Lepisosteus oculatus: one gene and its partner. The protein of the gene in region 1 binds, or shares a complex with, the protein of each later gene. Links are inferred from orthologs where the notes say so. Each region holds a gene or a part of one and is shown in the gene's direction. Other genes may lie near its edges. The genes, in order: atp8b1 and cell cycle control protein 50A.

Region 1 (7,664 bases):
GGGGTGAAGGGCCTCGCTCAGGGGCCCAACGGAGTAAGATTGCCCTGCCGGCTGCGGGATTTGAACCCGCAACCTTCCAGGCAAAGGCGCAGATCCTTAGCCACAGAGCCACCGCTCCGCCCCAAAAAAAGATTGCTGAAAGAATTGGAGTTCAAACTCCGCAGACACACTGCCAAAACTAATGCTCTGGGCTCTTACTTAACTCTGAGGGGACCCGAGACAGGTATTCAAAATCCTCAAAAAGGCACCAAACCCTACAAGACTTGTTGAAAATCAGCCTTGCCAGACGAAAACAGAAAACAAAAAGACTGCGGGAGTACGGAACCAGTTTGTCGGCCACGTTGTTGAAGACGAGCCCGTCGCTGCCTTTAAGACACTACTGGTTGACATCCTGATCAATGAGTTAAGTTACGAAACGATGTACCGTCGGCCTCCCGTCATTTGAAATCTTCCCAACACCGTCATGAAATACCACTTTTGTATCGCGTATATAGATAACCGAATGGATCAAATTACTAACTTTATTCTAGGTCAGGCAAAACAGTTTTTTTTTTCCCAGCCAGCGAGCTGGCAGATAATGCAACATAAGGTTTTGCATGATCTTATTGCAAAATATTTGCAAAATAAGGCGATACATCCCATTCTGCTCAAGCAAGCACTTAGGCGAGCATGCAGGGTGAAACGACACCCCACCAAAACAAGACGATTCTTTGTGCATTTGCATGTGCAAAAACGATCCGAGGCTCTTAAGCGGCAGGTTCCTGCGCAGGAGCTGCTGACGATCTGCGAGCGCAGGAGCTGAAGTACTCACCTCCGGCACAAGACGGTCCACTCCCCGGATCTGGCCGTAGACCCCCCAGCCGCCTACAACCGGCAGGACGCCAGCGGTCCTGCCCGGAGGCCCGGTGTTGTAGGCCTGGGGGAAAAGCATCGGGGGAAACGCACTGTCCGTACGCCCGGCCATGTCTGGGCTCGACCCATGTGTCAAACCGGCCCCGTTTAACCCCAGCACTGGGCAACGAGGCGAGCGCGTCTCCCTTCCGCTCCGCGCTGCGCTGCACGACTAGGTACAAACCTGACGGGGTTTTTTGTTTTTGTTGGTTGGTTGTTAAATTAATTTCCCGACACCATCAGTCCGAAACAAGAACGCGTACGCGCCACACGTGTTCCTGTAAACGAAAGGCTCCGAAAACGGAAGCCAACGCGGCAGGAGGAGTCTGTTTTGACGCCAAACTGGGGGGACTGGGGGGTGGAGAGAGGAAAGAGTGAGCCCTTCCCCTGGATGAGACCGGTAACCAATCGGAGGAGAAGGAGCTCGCCAAGGCCCTTCAGGCTTAGTGGAAAAGGGGGACGCCACTACATTCAAATTCAAACAGCTTTATTGTCATGACCGCAGTGTTACAGTGGTGCCAAAGCGCACACGGCGAATACAAAGGTCTACAGACATTTACACAACACAAATACATCTTGGGACATGTACAGCCAACACATAGAACTGACTAAAACCGTTTCCATCACTAACCGGTACGTCGGTTACCGGCTGTTGCCAAATTTGGAAAAAAAAACAGCGATTATTGTCAAGGCAAATAACCCTGGCCTCTGCGAAACTTGAGCCGGCAAGAGTCCAGTGCAAAAAAAAAAAACTTTCATTAAACCCGGTTTCAGGCGTACTGTAGGTGCGCCACCACATTTGGGAGTCTGGGGTTTAAACGTAGCCTAAGGTGTAAATTAAACGTCAATCCTTTTTACTAAATTGTTTTTTTTTCTTCTTTTTCGTTTGGTCGTGGAGTAAAGAGTATCAGCGGAGAACTGTTTTATTTGATCAACGACAGCTGTCCATTTTTTTAATGTTGGCGATTTGTCTCGATGCGTTCCACCAGCTGGTAGTTTTTTAATTAGTTTTTCTTAGGTCATCTGTTCTACAGTATAATCGTAATTTGCACTGTCGGTCCATCAATGTGATCGGCAAACCTTGCCAATGAAGACCCAATTCGAAGAAAATGCAAATAGCAACTTTCAAAGAGGGGTCTCTGCAGGTGACGGGGTGGATTGAAATTATTTTTTTTTAAAAAAAGATATAGACGCTTCTTTATTGAGAAAAAAGAATCATATACAACTATTTTATTCCCTGCCCCTGATTGATAATTAAGCGTGAAGGTCAATTCAGTAAAAGTCTATTGGTCGGTTTACACAATGATGTATTTCGGTGTCAGGGCACTTTTAAAATGCCGCTTTGTCTCACAGTGTCCGGGGAATATGGGGCCAGTCGCTGCCCTAGTCTAGAGGGAGGAGGCGCGACTGTACCGGCGGAGAGGAGAGGAATTTAACGGAGAGAGAGGCACTAGCTGTGGAGCACAGGGCACCACTTTCAGGGCTCACACATTTCAGACACGCTGCTCCGGCTTCAGCCAGCAGCGCGAGAAACTGGGGGCTCCCTTGGCGGCGGTGTGGGAGGGGACCCGGCTGCTGAGCCCTCAGGTGTGGGGCTGCACTGAGACCACCCGCAGGACCCCAGAGCGAGATGGAAACTCCACTCAAGGCGGGCGACGGCTCTCTGACATGGGATTGGGAGGAAGGGGGCAGATAGTAACACAAACAGGTTGTCCCATCGAGTCACGTGTTCTGACGCTCCTGCCGAAGGCGGATGGGCGAGGGGACTCCTGTTCAGGAGACAGGAAACAGAAACTAGCTCTAGGGGTGCCTTGTAAATGGATGACCCTGTGCTCTGACCCCCAGCTTCTCTCCCTCTCCGTGTGTGCATGCGAAAAGACAAATTCCTAATACCAGAAATTGTATATGGCCAATAAAGTGATCTTATCTTATCTCTTCTCTCCCTCAGAGTTTCTACGCCCAGTGAAAGGATAGAGGGATAAATAAAAACATGTTTTTTTTTTTTTGCTGTAGTCCTTCCTGTTATGTATTACTCCTGTTATGTTTATTACTCCTTCAGTAATAAAGGTGGCACACCTGTGCCTGTGTTTTACCAAGGTCTGTGCTCTTATGCCCTGAATGTATGGGTTCTGTTTCATTATTATTCAATGGTGCACATATCTACTTGAAGCATATACTGTAGAACAATAAATAACCATTCACTGAATGGAGAGTCACAGGGTTTAATAAAATAATCTTTAAATGTTCCAAAGAATCATCAATTGATGTGAGCAGGAGACTCACATGTTCTTTAAATCAATCCACCTTTTAAGTGAATGAGAAAGATAGGAGGATTGATAAAACTGTTTGTAACAAATTTGTGACAAGTTTGTAACAGTATTATCAAGCCCTCCTTTTCTTTGTAAGGTACTTTAGAATCGTAATATTGATTTAAAATATGGTGACACACAAGCTGCCACAGATCTATGAAGTTAAGCATCTAGCTGGGTCAGTAGTGGGATAACAGGTTGCTGCTGTAAGTGGCGATGTTGGACCAGTAGGTGGCACTCTTTCCAAGCCGGACCCCAGTATGAATGGTACATAAATCCAAAGTCCTGACTACTTGGTCACTAAGGCTCTTAATGATAGAGAAAAGATACTAATCCTGGTGTTCAGGCCACATTACACACTGGGCGTGTTCAATCTGGCCTTTCTAAAGTTGCCTTGCTGGCTTCGGTCAATTGCTGAAGCATTTCTTCACTAACGGATCTGCTGTGTACTGGCTCATGTAGACTGCTGCCTGTCCCCTACATCAGTGCTGTGTTACATTGGTACATGAAGTGGATCTCATTCAATGTCTAGTTGTGAGATCCTCAGGGATTAAAAAACATGCCATATACTGTAAATGCAAGGAATTGTTATTATTTTACCTTAAACATGAGAATGTATGTGTGGTTACAAAAGAGAGGAGACTAGGTGACCCATCTAACCTATTTGGTAGCTAGAAGTTAATTGAGCCAAGGAACTTGTTAAGACATTTCTTAAAAGTAACCAAGGTATATCAGCTTCAACACCATGGCTGGGTAACCTGTTCCATAACTACACAACCTTTAATTGTCTTAATTAATTGTATACAAGCTTCTCCTTCCTATACAGGGAACTCAATGTCCCAGCTCCCAAAAAAGTAACCTTTTTCAGACTGAAAGTCACCCAGAACAGCAGAATGTACATGTGACCACATAACAATTTGTAATTTAGGAAGCATATGTTGTTATACACTTACCGACAAATGCAAAATCAAACAACCTACAACTGGGAGCTCAGCAGGAGCAAGTGAATTCATGATTCTGAGGATTATCTTTGGCTATAAAGCTGCATAAAATAAAATAAAAAATGATCAATGGGGACCAATAGCAGATCATAAGGGGAAAACGCTGCGTTCTTCGGTTATGCTCCACCTGTTACTAAAACAAACGTAAAATAATCTAGCAAGTCACTAAATTAAGAGGTACAGATTCAAAAAGGAGGGACGAAATTAATACTATACGCAGTGTAAAAAAATCGAAACACTTTGCATTTTTAAAGATGACCTCTACTTGTCAAAGACATATACGAATATTATGTTTCGTATCCGTGCAAACCCTGTTTTGTTACGTCCTAATTTCACTTCATGCAAATACTGTTCCAATTTGGCTATGAATGGGATGATAGAGCCCTATCTCACCTTTACCTGCCCAGCCACGTGACCGTAACTCTTCCTTTTCTACCGGTTAGAAAGAAATGTTTGTGTTCGCCCAGGACTAAAATGTCTCAAGTCGTTTGCTCCTAATTCGAAAGGTTTACCACACAACAAAAACCCGGCCGACCCGTTTATCTAGTTTCTGAACAAGGTAGCCATTATTACGCTTGCGAAAGGGAGTGAGCCGAAACCTGCGCTTAGCTTGTGACGGGGAAACGACTTGCTCGTTAACATGGTTCAACGGGTTGAAAGGCGAAAAGAAGCGTAAAAAAAGAAGAAGAAAAGAAACAAACTACCGAAATATAAAGGAATTTGGTAAGTGTTTTTTTCAAGTCTCGTTTTAATCGCATCCCTGCGCTCATGATTGCTCTTCAGGTTGGCTCTTACCTGAGAGTTTGAGTTAAGCGTGTTTCCCTCAACGTATGTAGGCGTTTTCTATCGCATGATTTTAGAAGTTTTGAGCAGTTTTACAACTTGCGATATAACTCATAAAAAAAAACTAAAGTCTTGGGAATATATTAATATTTTGCATACAACGTCCTTACATTCCGCTTGCATGATATCTAAAGAGACTGAATTGACGTCGGAAAGTTTTAATGATTCAAAAAAAGTTTTTTGTTTTAAAAAACCCATTAGAGCTGATATTCCCACTTGTTAACGTAAACACTTAGTATTCTTTTTATTGAGAAGTAAATACGCGAGATTATGGCTTCTCACTTTGTAAGCACATCGTTTTACCTGGATGTTTGACTAAGTCAGTGATCGCTGGAAATAAGTAGAATTTAGAAATTCTTTTAGTCTGGATGTGTATATATATTAATTTATGATGTGAAAAAATGGTAGCTCTCTGTGCTGTTGGATTTCATTTGCTTCATAGCGATATTAATTAGCTCGTGCAATCCTTTTTTCATACTGTAAAGATGTTTATGATCGGTATGGTAAATGAACCCTCCCCTTTACTTGCGGAGAAATTGAAAAAATTGTATTTTTTTAGCTGATCTACTGGATGTCAGGGGCTGACTGGGGAAATATTTCACCGTTAGAACAGATGTAAGCCACTATTGTTAACAACGCGAAGGTTATTGCGGAGGAGTGGAGAACAGTTGGTAAAACCTTCTTTATTGATGGGCGTAATAACGAGCCTTCGTGGGTGATCTCTGAGATTCAGAATTCACGGTTATTTGACATCGGTTGTTTTCCAGTTTGGAGGCTGAGGAAAAGGTTTATGTCAGACTCAGTCGGGACGACACGCCTATCAAATCGTGATTGGATGAAACGCCAATCAGAATCTTGTTTTTATTAGTCCTACTACTCTAGGAGTGGAAATTTACTGCATTTGGGTGTAATATAGAGCTTTATTTAACATCACCAGTATTGGCTGTATAAATTATCTTGAATTGTTCAGCCCTTTGTATTCACTCTCCCCGCTACTTAGATGTTATAACTGATACGTCGTCGTCGTGTTATTGTAGAACGCCCCGTTCATCACAGGTGTTTAACGCAGTATTTAACGCTGTTTTCTGATGTAATTACTTGAACTTCTTAATTTGGATACCGCATTAACCCTTTTGGATCCCTTCTGTCGCTGATAAAGAGTGCTGGTTCAGGCTTGCCCTGAATCAGTGTATCTTGAAATATGACTAGTTTATTGATGATGTTGAGGTCGGTGTCATTTCTGGAGAAAAAAAGCTTGAAAATCAGAAATATCAGCATCTCAACCACTGAGCCCTGCGCTACCTCACTCCTGGCTGAAACGTCTCCTTTTATAAGTAGTTTTTTATTGATGCGAGTTGTTACTAAATATCTTCGTATTATTGTAGAAATTGTGAATCAGAAACGGCAAGACAGTAAATAAAATGCTTCAATTGTTAACATATACTGTATATATGGAATGCCGATCCATAGTAGTATTTGCCATTACTAAGAAAATAATCTGAGGTCGAGACAACACTGCGTGAGGACCTGTAATTCTGCTTTTTTGTTTGTAAGGCAGTTTCTCGTTAGTAAATCCTTTATTGACTGTTTTCTATAATACTGTTCCCAAGTAGGAAACCCTCCATCTCGGCTCTGAACATTCAGTTTAATTGTACAGATAAATAGAAGCCTACAGGGTTTGTAATTAACTCCAGACGTTTTACTCTCTAGTCCTGTAAATGCTAGTTTCTTTACTGGACATTTCCCATAACGATGCTATGGGACGGTCTGTGATCCAATATAGGATGTCATCAAAGACATTTTCGTATTTATTTGATGAATTTCACTTTTTCCTTCAGTATTCTATGTGGTGAATTAAAAAAAAAACATCTGGAAGTATTTTTACCCTTAATGGTAGTGTTTTGAATGTTCATTTGTTGAGGGAAGCGGGTGTAATTCTGCGATTCTGCTTTTTACTGATCTGATGTTTTCAATAGTTAAGTAGGCGTTTCTTATGTAAGTTAAATACTTAAGTAAAGTATAGATACTAAGATTATTCTGATGCTACTCACGTTTTGAGAATAACATGTTGATAAGATCATCATTGCAAAATAGTTTGCCATGTGTTGTAAAAAGAACAATACTTTCTATGATTAGGCTGTAGTGTAAGAGTGTTCAAGTTTTTTTTACCTATATTTAAGGATCACCTTTCTTTAAAAACAACTTGAAGAACACATCGTCTACTTCTTCGTGTTGGAATCCAAAAAACGAATGATCTCAAACAAATGTTACTGGAGCTGTTCAGGAATGCTTTAGGTATTGCACTTGTCTGTGTCTTCAGCTCTATTTAAGTGGATGTCTTGTTCATGTTACTGACAGAAAGTAGGATATGGTGACGAACTTTCAAGAGACCAGCACTGTTTTATCGATTCTTAATCAATGTCCTTCGAGAAATGTATCAAATTATTTACTGTTACTATGGCAGCTAACCTATGAGTCTCATATTCTAGTTGATAACATTTTTTTTCCCATTGTGTCCTACAGTAAAAAAAAAATACCTTGGTAAAAAAGAATGTCGTTTTTATCTAAATCTTGTATTTTTAACAGACTACAGAGCCCCAATTTGGTTAGTGGGGCATTC
Region 2 (8,136 bases), on another chromosome or scaffold:
GTAAAGACCCAATATTAACCATCATACTCCAATAATGCTATTGGATGCAAGCAGAGTCAAACAGTTCCACAGTAATGGATTGTCTGTGTATGTGTGGGGAGAGAGACATGCATTTGTGTGGTATTCATGCACACATTCCACTGTCTTCAATGGAAGACAAATATGTAGCTGTATTTTAATTTTAATCTAATTAGAACTTTTATTTTCTTCCTTTTTAGAGTGTTTCCATATCAGATTAATGACTTGTACAGTATGTTAAGAACAAAATATACATAAGTCATATAATAAACCTGCTCTGCAGCAATGCCATATATTTATCTCCAACTCTATCTCTGGACAGGTCTTAATTCATAAAATATCAATCTATATTTTTTATTAGTCTTATCCAGTACAGGGTTGTGGTATAGATCCTTATTAAATTGTAACTTTTGAAAATTTACAAAACTTAAATTTAAGAACAACTAAAAAAAACATTTAGTTTTTTTTTGTGGGGTGAATTAAGTGATTTACTGAAACAAAATCTGACGAACCTGAAACCTTCAACCCATAATTACCAAAGTCCCTTTATTGAAAACATTTTTACTTGTGTAATTAATATATACCTCACCAGGACTCCCAATCAATAGAACGATGAAGGATGAACCGGATTTGGGCTCAACACAACCAGTGCTGGTCTCCTGATATAAAGTGTTCAGTTGCAGAGCTGGTTCTCCTGGCTTTTGGCAGAGCACATTTCACTAGATACCGTTCAGATATCCTTGTCAACAACCCTGGGATTCATGGGGCTGAGCTGTGCACAGGGTAAGCCTTTGGGCTCATGGTTGGTGACTAGGTTGGTTGGTTCAAGTCCACACTGCAGACACTGCTGTTATGTCCTTGATCAAATCACCTGCCTGCTCCGGTCCACCCAGCTGTATCAATGGGAAACTGTGTTGCTGTGGGGGGGGGGGCATAATCCCTGCAATAGTCTGGTGTGTGATCGAAGGGGGTGGTATGTGCTCTCTAGTCTGCTTAATGATGCAGACAGAAATAAGAATAATTTCTGTCTTAATGAGCAACTTTGGCACCAGTATGGACTTTTTACCCTGAGACGCATGATACTACATTTTTGTGAGGCACTTTGTCAGGTTGCTGTTTATCTCCCTGTGTCTGCAGTCTAACGAGCTCTGATGGTCTATTGGTGGCTTCTAAACTGGACCGAATGTGGATCCTCCATGTCACTAATGCCTTTAGTGAGTGTGGAGCAGGACTCATTACCAGCACTGAGCCTGTTACAGAAGGTGACATCACCTTCTTGGAGCCTGGGTACCCCTGGAATCTGACCTTTCTTCCAGGCAGAATTCACTGCTCTCTGGCGGGCGGTGACCGTGAGGCCCTGAAGCTGGCGTTGCCTGTTAGCGACCATGATCAAATTCTGGCAGGGGCAGAGCCGCGCTCGTCACAGGCTCGGTGATGTCAGCTACAATGAGAAATACAGCCTGAGGCCTCCTTCTCCCCCTAATTCTGGGTGGTACGACAATGGATCAATTGACCACAGGTGTCTAAGCCTCCTCCTGTTTCACTTTAGATCATTACAACTTAAGGAAAACTACGATTGTCCCCCAAGAGACTGCATGTCAGGTTGCAAATGCGTGGTGCTCGAAGAATTCAACTCTAAACTCTGAACGTTGACGTGCAAGGCTTGTTCCACTGTAAACAAAAATGATGGAGGCTGATTAGGCTGTGATTTTTCATGTTGTCAGCAACAGTAACCTTCCAGCAAGGGCCTCTGCTGCCAGGTGATGAAATCTCCTTAAATTATGGTTTTCCTGTCAAGTAACCATGTCAAACACAACACACTGACCCTGGTTTCTCTATTATTGTTGGTTCTCCTTTTTTCTCACATATGCTTTAACAGTATAGACCAGTGGTTATCGGTTCTGGTCCTGTGGTTTCAGCTTCAGCTGGGTTAACACCAGTGCAAACTGGTGCCAGTAACTGATTTGCTTGCTTGTTTAGGCCTCGGCTTCAAAAACACTAAAGTCTTCAGTGTATTATTTCTAACATTCTACAAAACTTTATGAAATCTCTCCTGAACTTGCTGAGTAAGTTCCCTTATTTCTAACTAAAAAGCTTATATATACATAAAGTAATATGCAAGCTTGAATAGGTGACTGTTTTATAATGAACAGATGCACATGGGAATGATAATATATCAATATACAAAACACTCCTTCATGAACTGAGAGTTTTTCCTTGTCCAATCAGTCATATTTCAAGGAAACACACTTGAAATGAGGTCACTTCTGGAACTCACTAATTAGTATAAGGCTGGAGCCAATTACAAATTCCTATTCGCCTTTTTGAGAGCTGAACGCAAATTTTAAATAGGTCTTGAATGAAAACTGGGATTAAGATGGAGCAATCACTCCAACAACCAGGCGGAGCAAAACCCCAAGGGCGGAGATGTCCCCCAGGGCCAGAAAGGAGAACCGCTGGTGTAGAAAGTCTTCATTAGAGAACACAGATCAGCATGGAAGATTCCAGAAAGGCATGGTCTGGAATATTTTAGCAGACCTGAAACCATATCATGCCAGTATGATTATTACCAGAGCCCCAGCTAGCTCTGTGGGTAGAGCATGAGACCCCCTAATCTAATTCACCTATGTATTTATTTATTTTGTTTGTCTTTTGTTTTATAACTATTCTGATGTCTGTTTTGCTTGTCTTGGTCTGGACTGCTGTAACACATCAATTTCCCTACGGGATTAATAAAGTATTATCTATCTATCTCAGGGTAGTGGGTTCGTGTCCCAAGTCGGGCGCCAGGTTGTCTAATAACCCATACTGGGCAGCAGCAGGGTGGGGTGGTGTTGGCGGCGGAGGATCACGTTTCCGTGACAACGGCAACAACGCTCGCGCTATCTGTGTGGAAGAAAGGCCTGGAATCTACTTCTGTATCCTGCCATGAAAACTGTGGATAGTGACAGGGGAACTATCCATAGGATTGCCATGACCCGATGGTACTCATCCCATCCCGTGATTATTACCATGAAGTTCAAGTGGAGAGCTGCGTCCGCATGCGTAGGCAGTGAAGGAACATGCAGAGGTTGATTCCACGCTGAAAGGTAAAAAAACGACACCTGAAGGAGGCTCCACAGTCAAAACCTTTACCTGTTCCTGATTATTGCCATGCCAGTAGAATATGTTTTCAGTGGGGTCCCTGGATCCAATTGGTATGTCTCAGTATTTTTAACAATTATTTTCTTTAACTTGTTTGAGGACCATTTCTATTTACACTATATACTCTATACATATGTTGATATAATTGTAATCGAGTTTATATTGATGTTTTTGGGTGATGCGTTTATCCTGAGACTTATATTTGCACCACTATATACAGCTGGAACAATCTAGCCAGCAGCCATATCACCACTCAACTCACAACTGGCAGCCCACTGAAGCTCAGCAGGTGTGAGCCTGATCAGTACCTGGATGGGAGACCTCCTGGGAAAAACTAAGGTTGCTGCCGAAAGAGGTGTTAGTGTCACCTGCGGTCTATGTGGGTCCTAATGCCCCAATATAGTGACGGGGACACTATACTGTAAAAAGTCGCCGTCCTTCAGATGAGACGTTAAACTGAGGTCCTGACTCTCTGTGGTCATTAAAAATCCCATGGCGTTTCTCAAAAAAGAGTAGGGGTGTTACCCTGGTGTCCTATCCACATTTCCTCCTAATAAACCTGATCTCTGAACTGGCTCCATCACTCTGCTCTCCTCCCCACTGATAGCTGATGTGTGGTGAGTGTACTGGTGCACAATGGCTGTCATCACATCATCCAGGTGGGGCTGCACATTGGTGGTGGTGGAGGGGAGTCCCCATTATCTGTAAACCACTTTGAGTGGAGTGTCCAGAAATTAATTATTATTATTAATCTCAAAGGTACAGCAGCAGTGTCTCTCCCGGGGATCTGAACCAACAACCAGTTCAAGTCCAAAACTCTATCCACTTACTGCACACTCCTACCCTGCAGTTAGTAAACTGTAGATGACTGCAGATATTACCAAAATAGGAGGATCATCAAACACTGTAGAAGATTTAATGGAAACTCAAAATTTCCATTTCCATTGACAAATTCAAGCGAACACATGAACTGTGAAATTCTGAACTTGAAGAGGCCACTTATGAAAAACAAATAAGGTGGTTATCTTGACACAACATTTCAATCTTGACAGTGTGGCAAAGCAATAAAAAAGTTTAGATTGACTTTACTGTTACTTTAAAATTATGTAATGCACTAGCAAGACTTAATTCGCACTCGCAGTACTATCTGTACAGTATTGTTCACTGCGTTACAAGAATTGCGTATTTTTGCTCTGGAATTAGTGCAGATAAATCAGACACAACCTCGAGCTTTAAGGATTGTTCTACACTGACTGACTGAAACGCACAGAACCTCTGTAATCTCAAACAGTAAAAGGGACCTGATTCAAATACACGGCATGAAAGGTTTATTCATAATGTATAATACTGTACCAGAGGAGAAAGCACGGAAGAACTTTATCCTGGGATTTTTTTTTGCTACTCTTGCATCGATCACAGTCGCAAAATGACATTTTATCACACAGATGTATTCCTTAAACGCTTTAGCGACAAGCTGAATGGCGGATTGCCAGCGCCCGAGGCGAATAAGGAATTGCACAATGTGCCATAAACTGGTAACTTCATAAAGCGCAAAGATGCATTATTGCTTTGGCGCTCTGCATAAGAAAAAACATAAGAGTCAAATAAAGTCTGTGTGAGAGACAATAAGAAATTTGCATGCACTCTATTACTAAATTTATCTTAAGAAAATAAATTGTTGTAGAACACATTAAACACACAAACCTAAAGTGTTTTTAGCGCGATTAACTCTCAGTTTCCCCAATACCACCCATAGGAACATCGCGCGTCCGCTCTGCGATTAACAGACGTCATCACGCACGTTACGTGTTTGGGATTTAGAAGCTTCCTGGTTTTATTTAGTCGCTGCTGCTTTTCCTTGATGGGGGGGTAGAATTTAAAGGTTAAAGGAGTATCGTTATTGATATAATTTTTCATCGTAACGAACTACATACATGTAGTTTAGGGCGCCGGTGTTTCACCGATCGCAGCCTCTCGTCCTCGTAATTCTTCTCTCCGGGTTTCTGTGTTGGTGGTGCAGCGAAACGGGATATTAGCCATGATGGCGTCTAGCTATAACGCAAAGGAGGAAGACGGTCACCACTCCGGGGCCTCCGGGCCTGGCGGCGGTGGGGCTATCAAGAGCAAGAAGCCGGACAACACAGCCTTCAAACAGCAAAGGCTGCCCGCTTGGCAGCCCATCCTCACCGCGGGCACGGTGCTGCCCGCTTTCTTCGTCATTGGTCTCATCTTCATCCCCATCGGCATCGGGCTCTTCGTCACTTCGAACAACATCAAAGAATTCGAGGTACGGCGGTGTTGGCATGAGCACAGTATTAAGGGGTAACTGCGTGGTGTCTTGGGGGTACTGCGAATCACCTGTAGCGGTTTCGGGGCTGCAGGTCTCTGAATGATACACTACAGCCTGCGGTTCTGTGTACACTCGGATATCAACACATTATCGTCTCGGCACCAGTCTTCTACAGTGTTATTCAGTAATGAACTTTTATTACTGTATATAACTCAGTATTTTTTTGCATTCGCCCAACCTCGATGTAGTGATTTTTTTTGTTAGGTATGATGAAGGGTGTGAAAACGTATTTCTGCGTCTCTGGTGTGTTGAAATGCACTAGCACTCAATGTTGCAACGTTCATGGCCATACTCTAAACACTGTTGATTCTTCAGAATTAAGCGCCGAAGTGTGTTCAGTATAGGGACATCAGTTTTGCTCTTTCAGTATGACCGGTGTATATTTAGTGCAGTTTGCACTCTGATGTATTGCCACGGTAGTTTTCGTGAGGTTAAGTAAATATTTGATCTTAACATAGAAGGCATATGCAAAGGTAATTGAATTTCTGTTGGCTCATTCGTCCGTGTAAAAGAATGCCATTATGTTCAATCCGAGAATGCCGAGAATGCCATTATGTTCAGTGCCTTCCTTGCATTTAAAATAGTTAAAGCAGGTACAGTATTTGGTTTGCAGGCATGTGTAGACTTTAGGCATACGGTTTATGCTGTGGGTTACAGTAACAAAACAAGTTCTGTATGTCTTTCAGCTCTGCAGAAGAATGAACGTGGAGCTGTGTGTATTACTGCACTCTGATTGTCTTCTCTTAAAGGCATACTTTAGAAGTGTAATTTCAAATCCTTTTGTCCATTTAATCTCTTCATTATTGTGAACAATGCTAAAATATTGTTATACTGATCTTATTGTAAGTGATTACAGCTGGTTTTGTTCCATATTGAATTCTTGCAAGTACGTAAACCAGTTTCTTGTCTCTTAAGAGCTGATTGATTATCCCCTAGTAATAGCTGTGCCTTCTATATTCCAGATTGATTACACTGGCATTGACATGTCTAGTCCCTGCTTCAACTGTTCTCAGACGTACAGCTGGAACAGCACAAAGCCTTGTATGTGCTCTGTCCCTTTTACACTGGACCAGCCCTTTGAGGTAAGACCGAAGTGATGTGTAAGTTTTAGAGTAACTGTAACTTCATCCATTACACTTAGTCCAGTACAGAGTCATGTTGAGCCAGAGCCTGCGCTGGCAGACGAGATATGAAGTCTGAAAGACCCTGGATGGGACAATTATAATATTATGAGATGCAAACTAATATCCACCCACATCAAATCAAAGTTTATTTATCAAATGCACAACAATAATTGCTGGCAATGAAATATTTCAAGAATCACAAAAATCACAAAATTAAGGTTACAAAAATAAGGTTACCTGATAATAGATAATAATGTACTAGTAACGGAATAAACCTCAATATGAATAGAGCTGCTATGTGTCCATGGTGTATGCAATATATTATGTCCAGGTAGTGCAGTATGCTGAACTGTGCCAATATTCAAACTTATGTCTATAAGTGTTTGTCGGTCATATCTAATCACCGAGCAAACAGTATGTGCAGTTAGCAGTACGAAAAACAAAACAAATAAGAAATAGACAAGGATGAATGGGAGCTCGCAGGACGGCAGCCTTCCCTGTCGGCGCCATTTTACAGATCTTTTCCATCCATTTTCTAACCGCTGTGTCCGGTTCGGTGTCGTGGGGGAGCAAGGTGGGATACACTCTGGATGGGACACCAGTCAATGGCAGGCAGACATAGACACATGCTCACACCAGGCCCAAGTATGTGTTTGAACTGTAGGAGGAAACTGGAGCACCCAGAGAAAACCTGTAACATACATGTGGGGAACATGCAAACTCCACACAGATCTTGTCGAACCCAAGCTCCAGCAGTGCAAGGCAACAGTGCTAACTGCTGAACTGCTGTGTCACCCTTAAATTGGTATATTTTTTGAGAAATAACTAATTTCTCCTTAGGGAATTCCTGTGCATGAGCACTGAGAGAATAATTACTAGTAGTTGGCTGGAATATGTGTAAAACGTATGTCCTGTCAGAATATGTATTGGCTTACATTTAGTGATTAAATGTCAATTGTTCGGACAGCATCTGAGGTGCCTTTTCAGATGAGCTTCCAGATTCTCATCTGCTTGCGCTGCTATTAACCATGCTCACAATGTCCAAAGCCCAGCAGCACTCATGAATCAGAGTTATTTCTCAATGAATAATTCATGCAATGGAATTTTAGGTCTGGAAGTGATGCGCACAAGATCCACCTGAGACACAAATGGATGACTTTTGTTTGATTCATGAAAAACATTCACCTTTGAATTTTACATTGGTTGAAATTAACCCAGTCGTGTAATTATTAGCTGTATGTGAAAATAGTGCATTCTAGGAGCCCAAAAGTTTTCTTTCTTTTCAGTTTTTCATTCTGTCTTAATGCAGAGTATTTTTATTGGAAACCCAGTCACAGTGAGATTAATGAGTCAAGCCTGCTGGAAGATGCATCATCTGTGACAGCTTTTAATTATACATAAGCTTGGTACTTTTTAATATTTATGTGTTTGCTAAACCCAAATACCGCAAGAAGCATTTACTTTTTAAATGTTAATTGTTTTATTTATGCTACCTTTGAT

Evidence for each region.
Region 2: the proteins of atp8b1 (region 1) and cell cycle control protein 50A are in contact, whole or in part, in a cryo-EM structure (PDB 7VGI), measured with the Homo sapiens proteins. The link is inferred for Lepisosteus oculatus from reciprocal best matches to the Homo sapiens genes ATP8B1 and TMEM30A. Residues at the interface, in NP_001361314.1 of Homo sapiens: Thr138, His359, Trp362, Glu363, Val366, Ser369, Ser370, Trp371, Tyr372, Leu373, Tyr374, Asp375, Gly376, Arg384, Ile388, Phe418, Asn420, Trp421, Asp422, Leu423, Tyr426, Lys430, Asp431, Thr432, Pro433, His939, Trp942, Arg946, Tyr968, Phe971; in NP_060717.1 of Homo sapiens: Lys24, Thr25, Arg26, Arg27, Pro28, Asn30, Phe33, Lys34, Gln35, Gln36, Arg37, Leu38, Pro39, Ala40, Trp41, Gln42, Pro43, Ile44, Leu45, Thr46, Ala47, Val50, Phe54, Ile57, Phe61, Ile64, Ile68, Ile75, Phe119, Tyr121.

Annotation. Positions count from the first base shown.
Region 1 is NC_090698.1:66,524,712-66,532,375, reverse strand, and holds the start of atp8b1 (phospholipid-transporting ATPase IC), read left to right. Parts: upstream 1-4,633; 5' UTR 4,634-4,924; intron 4,925-7,664. Other genes in the region: taf1c (TATA box-binding protein-associated factor, RNA polymerase I, subunit C), read right to left, coding at 812-964. UniProt on the Homo sapiens protein: Catalytic component of a P4-ATPase flippase complex which catalyzes the hydrolysis of ATP coupled to the transport of phospholipids, in particular phosphatidylcholines (PC), from the outer to the inner leaflet of the plasma membrane.
Region 2 is NC_090697.1:9,267,440-9,275,575, forward strand, and holds the start of cell cycle control protein 50A, read left to right. Parts: upstream 1-4,957; 5' UTR 4,958-5,200; coding exon 5,201-5,449; intron 5,450-6,474; coding exon 6,475-6,594; intron 6,595-8,136. UniProt on the Homo sapiens protein: Accessory component of a P4-ATPase flippase complex which catalyzes the hydrolysis of ATP coupled to the transport of aminophospholipids from the outer to the inner leaflet of various membranes and ensures the maintenance of asymmetric distribution of phospholipids.